Linked DNA regions of Astyanax mexicanus. The protein of the gene in region 2 purifies or fractionates together with the protein of the main gene of each other region. This does not show direct contact. Links are inferred from orthologs where the notes say so. Each region holds a gene or a part of one and is shown on either strand. Other genes may lie near its edges.

The links.
Region 1: the proteins of marchf6 (region 2) and plin2 purify together in Homo sapiens (affinity purification with western blotting; 3 studies listed by BioGRID). This does not show direct contact. The link is inferred for Astyanax mexicanus from reciprocal best matches to the Homo sapiens genes MARCHF6 and PLIN2.
Region 3: the proteins of marchf6 (region 2) and sqlea purify together in Homo sapiens (affinity purification with western blotting; 4 studies listed by BioGRID and IntAct, with this or other methods). This does not show direct contact. The link is inferred for Astyanax mexicanus from reciprocal best matches to the Homo sapiens genes MARCHF6 and SQLE.

The regions. Positions count from the first base shown.
Region 1 is NC_064415.1:28,201,600-28,205,355, forward strand, and holds the start of plin2 (perilipin-2), read right to left. Parts: upstream 2,468-3,756; 5' UTR 2,359-2,467; intron 2,194-2,358; 5' UTR 2,185-2,193; coding exon 2,158-2,184; intron 964-2,157; coding exon 768-963; intron 642-767; coding exon 559-641; intron 138-558; coding exon 1-137. UniProt on the Homo sapiens protein: Structural component of lipid droplets, which is required for the formation and maintenance of lipid storage droplets.
Region 2 is NC_064415.1:39,741,856-39,745,611, reverse strand, and holds the start of marchf6 (E3 ubiquitin-protein ligase MARCH6), read right to left. Parts: upstream 2,824-3,756; 5' UTR 2,567-2,823; coding exon 2,548-2,566; intron 611-2,547; coding exon 511-610; intron 1-510. UniProt on the Homo sapiens protein: Endoplasmic reticulum membrane-associated E3 ubiquitin ligase that plays a critical role in mitigating endoplasmic reticulum stress, the regulation of cholesterol and lipid homeostasis, and ferroptosis.
Region 3 is NC_064408.1:112,537,714-112,541,469, reverse strand, and holds the start of sqlea (squalene monooxygenase), read right to left. Parts: upstream 2,306-3,756; 5' UTR 2,015-2,305; coding exon 1,766-2,014; intron 575-1,765; coding exon 313-574; intron 1-312. UniProt on the Homo sapiens protein: Catalyzes the stereospecific oxidation of squalene to (S)-2,3-epoxysqualene, and is considered to be a rate-limiting enzyme in steroid biosynthesis.

The DNA.
Region 1 (3,756 bases), about 12 Mb from region 2:
TTTGTTCTGCTCATCACTCCACTGAGGGTATTGGACATAGTGTCTTTGGCCCCATTCACAGTTCCAGTAACTGCTTCTTTGGCACCAGTCACTTTTTCCTTGGCACCAGTCACTACTTCTTTAGCATTAGCGACGAGCTACAGAAGTAAAGAAAAGGTTTATGAAGGTTCATGGACATGAAGAAAATCTCTGCAACATTGTAAAGAACATGGCAACTAGGCATGCTTTTCATATATGACTAGTATGACTAATTTTTTATACTTTTACTTCAAACTACTATTCTACTATTCTGTAACTACTATAAATTATTTTGTGTTATGTAAAACCGAAAAACTGAAAAGTGGCCATTAGGCAGGAATTAGGTAGGAATGTAAGGACATCACCTACAACACCTGCATTCCTATCAATCTACAAATTATTCTAGAGCTGTTAGGGAGTAAAAGGATGAACTGGTAATGAAAAAGAGGAGGGCATAGAACAGATCTCTGAGAACTGTTAAAGGGCAAATCATTTGTTGTTTCAGTCTGAGTCATTACTGGGTGATGAACCCTAGCTCACCTGCTCAGAAGGTTGGTGAAGAATTGGAAGCGTCTTCTCTATCTTGTCAAGACCCTTACAGGCCAGGTCATTAGCCAGGGAGACTAAAGAAGATAAATACAAAAAATTCTAGTTAAATTACAGTGTTTTTGTTACACTAAATGAATATAATAAACTATTATTATTTGTTATTTTGAATTACTATGAATCAGTCCAGTCACACTACTTACTGTGAGGTTCCAGCTTGCCAATAATTGGTAAGGCACTGGTCAGGGCAGCTGAAGTGAGAGTTTTCACACTCATCTCTGCAGCCTCGCACACAGACTTGATGTATGGATGGTTGTCTTTGGTGTTGCAGTACATGCTTGAGACCATGCCGTAGGTGGAGCTCACCAGGGGCAGCTTGGCCACTCGAATGACCACATTCTGAAAATTGTGAAAGGTTAATCATTACCATTTGCATCATAGAGGTCTACGTCATGTCATATGCAATGGTACGGCTGTGCAAATTCTGTCTTGTTCCAGAACACAATCCAGGGCATCTGGCATTAGATTGATTTATATCTGTTATATTTAAAGAACAGAAACTATACACAAGAGAAAATCCACACCAAGAGGATCAAAAACAGCTAAACATTCATCAATGTTTCAGAACCAAAGGATAATATATTTTTAAACAAAAACTAAAAATGTTTTGATCAATTTTCCAAAATTCAAAGTATCCGTATACCTGAATATACTAGTAGGGCTGAGATATAATACTAAAACACTACAAAAAAATACAATGCCAAAGTAAAATTATTTATTTGTAACACCGAAAGAACAGACTGTTGTATATTTAAATAGTAAATATCTAACTGTAGATTTAATATGGATGATTTTTAATATGCACTGGATTGCCTGTGTTGTCTGAAATAGTGAAATAAAGTTACTTTGCTGCTACATTTAATTACAATGTTTCAACTGCATATTTTGCACAAGACTGTACTCTGCTGTACTCTGTTAAGTGTCATCAATCCAAAAACTAACCTATTGCCATACAGGTAAACCTTTAAATCACACTTAGAGAGTAACATGTAATTGTAAAAAATATTTGTCTCAATATTATTTAATTATATGAGTGATTCTCGATTAAGATTTAGATCTTTAGTTGTTACAAAACAACTTAATTTTTTTTATTTAATTTTCTTTTTTTTGTACGAATAGTAAGCATACCATTTCAACCCTACAGCAGTTTTTATATTAAACACAGTTTGGGAAATATGTAAAATATGAAAACTCTTGCTTAATAAAATAGTTCTTTACAGGTTTCAGGGATGCAAAGGTCTTTCTACTGAGGTAATTGTAAAAGCTAAATTATATTACAGAATGGCCTTTTTTGTTCTAAAACAGTTTGATATATATCAATATTTTCAATATTTTGTCTAGCCTAAATTAATATAGTAGTAAACATTAACACAGGGGCGTTTTACGCTAATCAAATAAGATCATATGGGAGAAGAACAGACTATTCTGAAGGTTATATAGTTACTAACTTTAATAAACTAGTTTTAGTCATTAAAAGTCTTGTTTTTGTATTTTGTGGGACAAGAACGATTTTTAGAAGGCATTTCTACACACCTGGTTTGTTATTTCCATTGGAGCCATGTCTTCTCACTGAAGAAGAAAAAGAAATGGGCAAAATGTCACGTCTACATGCTCTTCAGTTCAGTTCTTCATCCATTTAAAGTCATAAAGGGACATGAAGAATCTTACAGCAGTATTAATGAAAAAACAAATAGGAGAAAAGGAAAGAACTAAAAAAAACAAGCTTAATCTCACCTGTAAATCTGTGGGTTTAGTCTACTGGCCAAAGGCAGTCTTCAGGAGTCCTCTGAGGAGTGGTAACTCGCACTCTTTCAGAATGAGGGAGTTCTCTCGCCTTTATATCCTCCCACTACATGTTGTGGCACCTGACCATTAAAAAAAACAGAAAAAGTAGTACAAAGGTCGCGAGCACGTCAGCGGGTCTTTCTCTCAGCACAACGAACCGGCGCGCGCGGCCGCTGCGATGGTGTGACGTCAAGCTCAGAACCGAAGCTGGGCTTTTTTTTGTTTAGTTCAAAAGTTTAATCTGAGGGAGCTGATTTACACCTGATTTAAACTCTTACAGACTCACTGTTCACATTCATTCACACACACCTCCAACCAGTCAGTACTCTTATCCCTCTATGGCATTAAATATAATTTTTTTAAGACGAAAAGAGTGTACATATCATTCTATTGGACATAGATATACCCTTGTAACATTATATAAAGATTACAAATAAATAAATAAGGTATGGTATGGTGTAATAACCAAAAATGTGCTTAGGGTTAATAAGCAAGCAAAAGTAAGAGAAACAGAAACCAGTTCTGACAGAAAAATTTGATCTAGTAGAGAAATAAAGCCCACAAAATGGTCAAGTAGTAGCCTAAGTGTACAAATGATTAAAGAAAGACATTTTACACAATACATATCGGATATTTGCCAGAATGTATAGTAAAATGAATAAGTAATGTTCTATCTTGAAAACTGAATTTGAGTTGAAGTTTAAGTGTGCTGCCTGTATGTGATGTGTAACGTTTCTGTAACCCGTCTGACTCACTATTGAGCAATTTCCTTTATGGATGACCCACAATAACATGTAGGTAAAAGTTCAGACAGGATAGTGACACTTGAAAACAGTGGTGAGAATAAGGACGTGAGGTCTGTCTGCCATATTATAAGCACTAATTTTATTTGAAAATATTTGTTTATTGATTTAGTTGAAATCTGGTGTGGCTTATTTTCCCACCAAGCATTGGTTACACGAGTTAACAATACCATTAGTTTGGCTAATGTTGTAAAGTTTATGAATGCTTGTGTCTTTGTTTTAAATATTATTGTAAGTAGAAACAGTGTAAAGGCATAACTGGTATAATGTAGGAGTCTTGGTTCAAAAAAGAACCTCTTGCTAACGGAATTAAGCTGTTCCACCTTAATTAGCCTTGCAGTTATGGCACACTATGTCCAGCTGTATATGTGAACCGTTAACAGCTGCAACATTTGCAGCACACTGACTGAACAGCCTTATTTAGCATTATTCCCGTGGCATTGCTACCATGCCCACCACCGGCCTCATTTAGCATTGTATTAGCATCACTAGTGCAGCACTAGCCTTGTCAAGCATTGCTATGGCACCTTTAGAATCGCTGCTG
Region 2 (3,756 bases):
GTCAGTTTTCTTTTTTTTCTTTTTACATTGCTTTATAATATTTTTTTAATTATAACACAAAGATTTTGTCAAAATCTCTAGCGCTCTAGAGAAGTTTATAGAGGCCTTTCGTTGTTATGTCTCAAAACAGACACAAATCAGAGGCATTGTGTGAAAGGGTCGTAAGCAACCAATGTTAAACTGACCTTTTTTTTTTGTTTGTTTTTTTATTCTAAATTGTTGATAAAAAAAATATGCTCTTGCTACATCATTAAAGCAAGCATTACTGCTTGAGAACACATTTAAAGCCCGATCTGGTTGTTCAGCTTAATGTTATATTTATTATGACGGAATATTAAATTAGGAAGATTTTCTTCTGAAACTTTACACTTAAGACAAGCTTTTAAAGTTCGGCACCTGACTATAATGTGTCTGTGTCCTGAAAAGGCCTAAATATAGGTCAGTTTGGCACAGAAAACCAGTAATAGGACTGGATGCTCTGTGTGGAATGTGAGAAAAACTGGCACTTACCATTCTTGATGAATGAATTTAATACTTCCAGTGCAGACACAGGGGTGGTAGAGGGGTTTGTCTAGAGTTCCCTCAGACCGACACACTCTACATATGTCAGCTGCAAAAAATAAAAAAATAAAAATAATTAATATAATTAATAATAATAATTAATAATAACTAATAATTAGTATCAGCAGGTCTACAACTTTTTTGCTGCAAAGTAACAAAACATACTGAACATGTCCGTTCATTTTTAAGGTATTAATTATGCAGGTCACAATAATTACATTATCAGCTCATCCTTTAATATATGGACATGACGTTAATCGTTTCTGCTGTCCTCCATATTGCCCATTTTTTGTTGCCAAGGATATAAATGATGGGTGTAATTGCATTGTTAGGCTATAATATCATTGTATAAATTGGTAGCATAACAATATCTTAAAATAACAATTAAATCATTCACCTCAATAATTTCCAGAACAATCTATTGTTAAAAAAAAATGTCATCTTAACATTAATCATTGTGGACATGATTGTCATGGCAACATTGTGGTTATAATAATTTAATGGATGTATTTTTTCTGGCTCTGAAAAAAATAAGAGCCCACTTTAAAAAAATATGCGTTTCTTTTTTTTTATTTCACAATTTTGAAAACCTCTGGAATAAAACCAGGAGAAAGACAGATGATAACAAGCAATCAAACCAAGCTGAACTGCTGGAATATTTGCACCAGGAGTGCAGGCATAAAGTTATTCAAAAGGAGTGTGAAAGACTGGCGGAGGAGAACATGCCAAGATGCATGAAAACTGTTATCATAAACCAGTTATTCCACCATATTGATTTCTGAACTCTTAAAACTAAACTTGTTTTCTTTGCATTATTTAAGGTCTGAAAATATTTCAACATCTTTTTCTTATTTCTGTCATTTCTCTTTTTTTTGCAAATAAATGGCAATATATATTTTATTTGGAATTTAGGAGAAATGTTGTCTGTAGTTTATAGAATACAACATGCTCATTTTACTCAAACATAAACCTATGAATAGCAAAAACAGAGAAACTGATTCAGAAACTGAAATTGTCTCTTGTTTTTTTCCAGAGCTGTGTTACTTAGAAAATTCATGAGTTAAAATGACTGAGTTATTACTACTGTACGAATTGTACACATACACATACACACACAAGTCTCCATTGGCTATTTGGGGTTAAATAGCCACAACAACTGCCAAATGTTTTTTTTTTTGTGTGTTTTATGAAAAACATTTGTTATTTTAGGAATGTTTCGATTCGCAAGTGTGTGTTAAAAGCGAATGTTTTGATCCCCAGTAAATGCTAGTTAGCTAACCCTAGTCCACATAATTCTGTTGTGCTACACCTGACACTACTTACTGAACTGTGAGTAATATACTCAACGTTTTCCAGTCATCGCTGCAGATTTCAGCGATTTTGAGGAACCAGAAATATACGTTAGCTAAGCTAACTAGCTTGTAAGTTAGCAGTGGTGGTAAAATAAAACTGCTGTGCTGAACCATTTAGTGCTTAACTAACCCACTTTCTGAGAAACCTCCAGAAAACAGAGCTCACCCGACTGACTCTAACAGTGCTAAAAGCTAGCTAACAGTCAATACACACTATAAATTGAATACCTCACTGCGTTAGCTTAGCTAACCTTGTTAGCTAACCAGTCTGTTTTAAAGAAAAACACAGCTCAAATATCAGTGCGGGGGTCTTTGTTGACTGAGTTCAGGGCGATGACATGTTTACTAGCAAAGCAAAGCTAGCATTAGCTAAGTAGCTAAATAGCTAGCGTTACGGTTCACAGCGCAGGGCCACATAGTCCAGTCTAACTTGGAAGCTATAAAGCTAGCATTAGCCAACCCAGCTAACCCAGCTACAGCTAACTAACAGCAGCCCGGCCTGAACGGCGGTGTTTGCGCCCCGTACTTCGGATCCATATTGAAACCCAGGCTAACCGCTCACATTAAACAGCCGTGCCCAGAGCCCGTCTAATTTTAGAGCCCAGTTAAAGCCCGTTAAAGGTCCGGAGCTTACCCTCTTCTCCAGTGTCCATCTTGTCGCTGGTCGTGACGCACTGTCCTCTTTACAGTCCGCTCATAACCCCGATCCGCTACAGCTGGAAAACAACAACAGCTTCCTAACGCCTCACCAACACACACATCTCCAGACCAGCCGCACACCGGACACCAGCTCCGCACACCGGACACAACCGCTCAGTTTAGTGTTAGCTAACTAACCCCCTTCAGACGCCCACAAAACCTGTGCTCGGTAAAATGTCAGTGAACTACATCTCCCATCAACCCCTGGAGCACAGCTCAGCACTGTTTCCGGCAGGACAGCGCACGAGGACAGAGGCTACGACAGATACTACACTCTGTGATGGATTACGGGTGTTTAATAGTGAACTATATAGGGGCTAGACTTTACCTCACTTTTGAAATCATTTAGAAAAATAAGAAATGTAAAAACTGTAAGAAGAACTGTAGGAATTTATAATGAGCTGTCACTGACCTTTTGTTAATGTATCCTATTTTTTTTTTTTTTTATTTAGGCCAATTGTGCTCTCTCAGGGCCCCTGCAGCCGATGGCAAGCTGCATGAATAGGATTCGAACCAGTGATCTCCCGATCAGAGTGGAAGAGCAGTTTTTTCCCATTGCATTGGAATTAGCTGTTACTTTGCCCCAATGACTCTAGTACTACTGGTTTTCCAGTAGTAGGCAGGCCAAGTTACTGTTTCATTGGTTTATAAACGTGTTCCTTGGTTGGCATGGTCTTTTCCTTTGAACAACTCTCAAACAGTGTTATGTTTTTTATAAAAAAAGAAAATACATGATGTCCATTGTAATGGATGCAGGGTGTGAAAGGGTTAATTGTGGATGTTTAAACTCCTGCTCATTGCAGAGAAAATACTACATTTCTAAAATGTTACAAAATGCCAATCAGATAAAAGTGAAAGCCTTGTGTGTTACTTATTTTATGTATTTTTATTTGCTTATAAGAAGTGATTATCTATGTTCTACTAACCTTTGGGATTTGTATTATTTGGGAGTTGTACTATTTTTACAGAATGTATTACAAAATAAAATAAATGAATGAATTTATTAATAAAAAATGTGCGCTTGTGTGCTCTGTGGGCGTGGCCAATGTGATGTCACTCTAAAATCCCTAAAAGACTTCCTGGGTAGGATACTTTGGTGTATTCTCTGTTGGAAAAAGCTGCAGGGAGATTTGAAGCCCTTCTT
Region 3 (3,756 bases), on a different chromosome or scaffold from region 2:
TGCTGATAAATGTGCAAATGCACCTGTTGGCACCATGCCTAATGCCAGGTGTGGGCTAGAGGGGTATAAAGCCCCCTAATTGAGCTATGAGGCAGTGGAACTATGTTCTCTGGAATTATGGTGCTTCATTCAATACTTTTGAATGGGATGAGTTGAGGGAGTTGGAGGTGAGGGGGGGTGGTAAATATTCAACATCCTGACCCCAAACAAATTACTGAGTAGGTGTCCCAAGACTTTTGTCCATATTTTATATATAAGGATTGAGAGTAACAGCGTGAACTTTGTTCTGTAAGTGTAAACTGAGCCCCTCACCCTCCAGCCCCAGCTCTCTGAGGGTCCGGAAGCCGCCGGGCTGTAGCAGTTCCCCCACGATCCTGTCCGGCTCCCGCAGGTCCCTCTCCACCACAGTGACCCTCCGCCCGTCCCGCGCCAACACCGCCCCCATCGCTGCCCCCAGAACACCTGCACCCACTATGATCACCTCCGGCCCCTCACTGCAGGGGTCCACTGAGGAGCCAGGGTCCGAGTTCAGACAGCTCTTCACTTCTGCTCTCCTCCTCCTCCTCACTCCTTTCTAATCAGTGATAGAAAAAGAAAGGAGGAGCAGTGAAAATAAAGGAAGGAAGGCAGGAAGGAAGGAAGGAAGGAAGGAAGGAAGGAAGGAAGGAAGAAAGGAAGGAAGGAATGATTAATATAATGAAGAGAAAAAGGAAGATAAGAAGGAAGTAATGAAGGAAAAAAGAAGTAAGATAAGATAGAAGAAAGGAAGGAAGTAAAATAAAAAGGAAGTAATGAAGGAAAAAAGAAGGAAGATAAAAGGGGAGAAAGAAAGGAAGTAAGAAAGAAAGAAAAGAAGAAAGGAAGTAATAGAGGAAGAAAAAGAAGGAAAATAAGAAGGAAGTAATGAGGTTTAAAAAAGGCAGTAAGAAAAGAAGGATGTAATAACAGAGTAATCAAATTCAATTCAATTCAATCAAATACATTAAAGAAAACAGAGGAAAGGAAAGAAGAAAGAAACAAAACAAGGAAGAAAGGAAGGAAGGAAAAGAGGAATCAAAGAAAGGAAGGAAGTGATGGACAAAAGGGAGGAAGGAGAAAAGCAAGCATGAGAAGACAAAACATGAGAAGTAAATGAAAGAAAGTAAAGAAAAGACAGGATGAAAAAAAGGAAAAGCAGAGGAAGAGGGAAAATGAAGGAAAAGGGGTGAATATATGAAAGAGATAAAGAGGGAGGAATAAAAACAAAAAGAAAGTGAGCGCAGGAGCAAGTGAAACAGCGAGAGAGTGAACAAGTGAGAAAGAAAAGAAAGTAAAAAAAGAGAAAGAAAGAAAACAGAGAGGAAATATAAGAGAATGAAATAAGGGAATGAAAGAAAAGAAAACATAACGAGAGAAAGTAAACCGAGTATGAGAGAGAAAGAGAGAGAGAGAACAAGAAAGAAAGCATGGAGTAAAAAAAGAAAAGTGAGTGAAAGAGACTTTTATTTTGTACATCAACTTTTATTCCCTGAACGTTAACAGAAGTAATACAGTCAGTGTGAAATAACTTCAGCAGATTAAAGTAATTAATTATTAATCATCTGTATTATATCATCATATTCACACACTGATCACCTGTACACCTCACTGTATTACACTGTATTACATAAAGATGGTAAAATAATACAATAGTGATGTAATAATAGTACAATAGTAATATAAATATAATAATAAGGATCAGTATGAAGATGAACAGTAAGTTATTATAATAATTATTATTATTTACCTGTTTGCTGTTGTCAGGTGTGTGTTTCCGGCTGCAGGTGTCTGATCTGCTGAAGATCTTGCTGGTCACAGGTAAGGCTGAGAGAAGCTCCAGGGCGAGCTGGGAGATCTGGGGGGCTTTCCTGAGGGTCAGCACAGTGCTGACAGCGAGCAGACCCAGCAGAAGCAGCACCAGCAGCCCATTATTCACAATAAAATCACACTTCTTATACACGTAGGTGAAACTCGCTACACCCAGAAACGTCCACATGATCCTGACTATGATTTAAAAATAATAATAAGCTCTGAAATAATACTAATAAGAGGATAATCCTAATAAAATACAAAATATTATATATATAAAAGAGTTTCCAACTACAAAATACAAAATAATACAGCTTCAAATAAAGTTTCACCAGTAAAAAAAAAGCCTTAAACTAAAAATAAAGTTTTTAAAAAAGTTTTTAAGCTACTTTTTTAAACTTTTTCATTAAAAAAATAGTATTTAAAAAAAAAAAGCATAAACAGGTCCGCGGTGTTCAGCAGGAGCAGAAGCTCATCCGAGCCGCCGAGGATGCTGAATAATTTATGCTAATATCGAACGCCTCCATTGGCCGTTTGTATGCGCTGCAGTTCCGCCTCCTCGGCTCGAATTCCACCAATCAGCGGCGAGGACGCGGTGAGCAGAGCTCACGCTATCTGGCCATTGGCCAATCGCCGGCACCTGGTTGGGGGACAGACAGCAGCAGCAGTAGTATGATGTGATGTCACTGAAAGAGGACGATTTTCCTCACAGCTCCACAAACTCACACCTTTATTACACTTTATACTCTCAGAAGTATATACAGAAATATATATATATATATATATATATATATATATATATATATATATATATATATATATATATATATATATATATATATATATATATATATAAGAGCTGTTCCACTGAATAAGTTCCATTTCTGTCCCCAGGAAATTACATGTATAAATGTGCACACAAAATAACTTTAAAATACTTTTATTATTAGGCATTATTAAGTCTTGTGCACTGACCTTATTGCAAAAGTAAAATACGGAATTAAAAACATTAATAAAAACAATTTAGGACACTAAAAAAATCATAAACTTTACCATGAAATATAATTATTAAAAATTCTTCAGAGAGAGTCCAAATCCTATCTTTGCTTTAAAAATATATATTTTTTTCATAATAAATACATAATAAATTTTTTTAGTTGTGTCACTGGGTTTCACTCAGTCCTCTTACCATAACTCCTTCTGAAACATCTGGAACATTCTACAAGTCACATCTACAACAGGAAGTGACATCAGCTGGTTCGTCTTAAGACCAAAATAAAGTTCCCTCATTAATTTTTCTGTATATTTGATTTTATTGTAGTTATGACAGAGGATGTCAATCTCAACACTGTTACCTGTTACCTAAATTAATTATTAGATCTTATTTGTTTATTTTTAAAATACAAATTTTGGGAAAATCACTAGAATGTGCTCAGTGTCCTCATGCTGTTAGCATAGCCGCCATTTAGCTATTTTTCATGTTTTTCATGCAAATTCTATGCTAATAACTCAATCCTGTTACTTTAATTCCTGTTACTCAAAAGCATAAAAAAACAGGAATGAGTGTCAGTAACAGGAGTGAGTTCCAGTAACAGGAATAAGTGGCATTAAAGGGAGTGATTTTTTTGTCATAAATATAAATTATTTGAACATGCTGTCAACTTTTTTTTTTAAATAAAGACTTAAAATAGAGAAAAACAATACACAGTTCCAGATCATTTATTTATTTTCTACATTGTAGGTTAATATTGAAGATATCAAAACAATTAAAGGGACACATATGAAATTATATAATAAACAGTAAAAAAAAAAATGTGTTTGTCCGCCAAAGAAAAAGAAAGACAAACTTCAATATCTACATTAACAGGTATATATTGTAGACTTGTTATTTGCTATATTGCTTTAATTATACAAGATTGACATCAATAT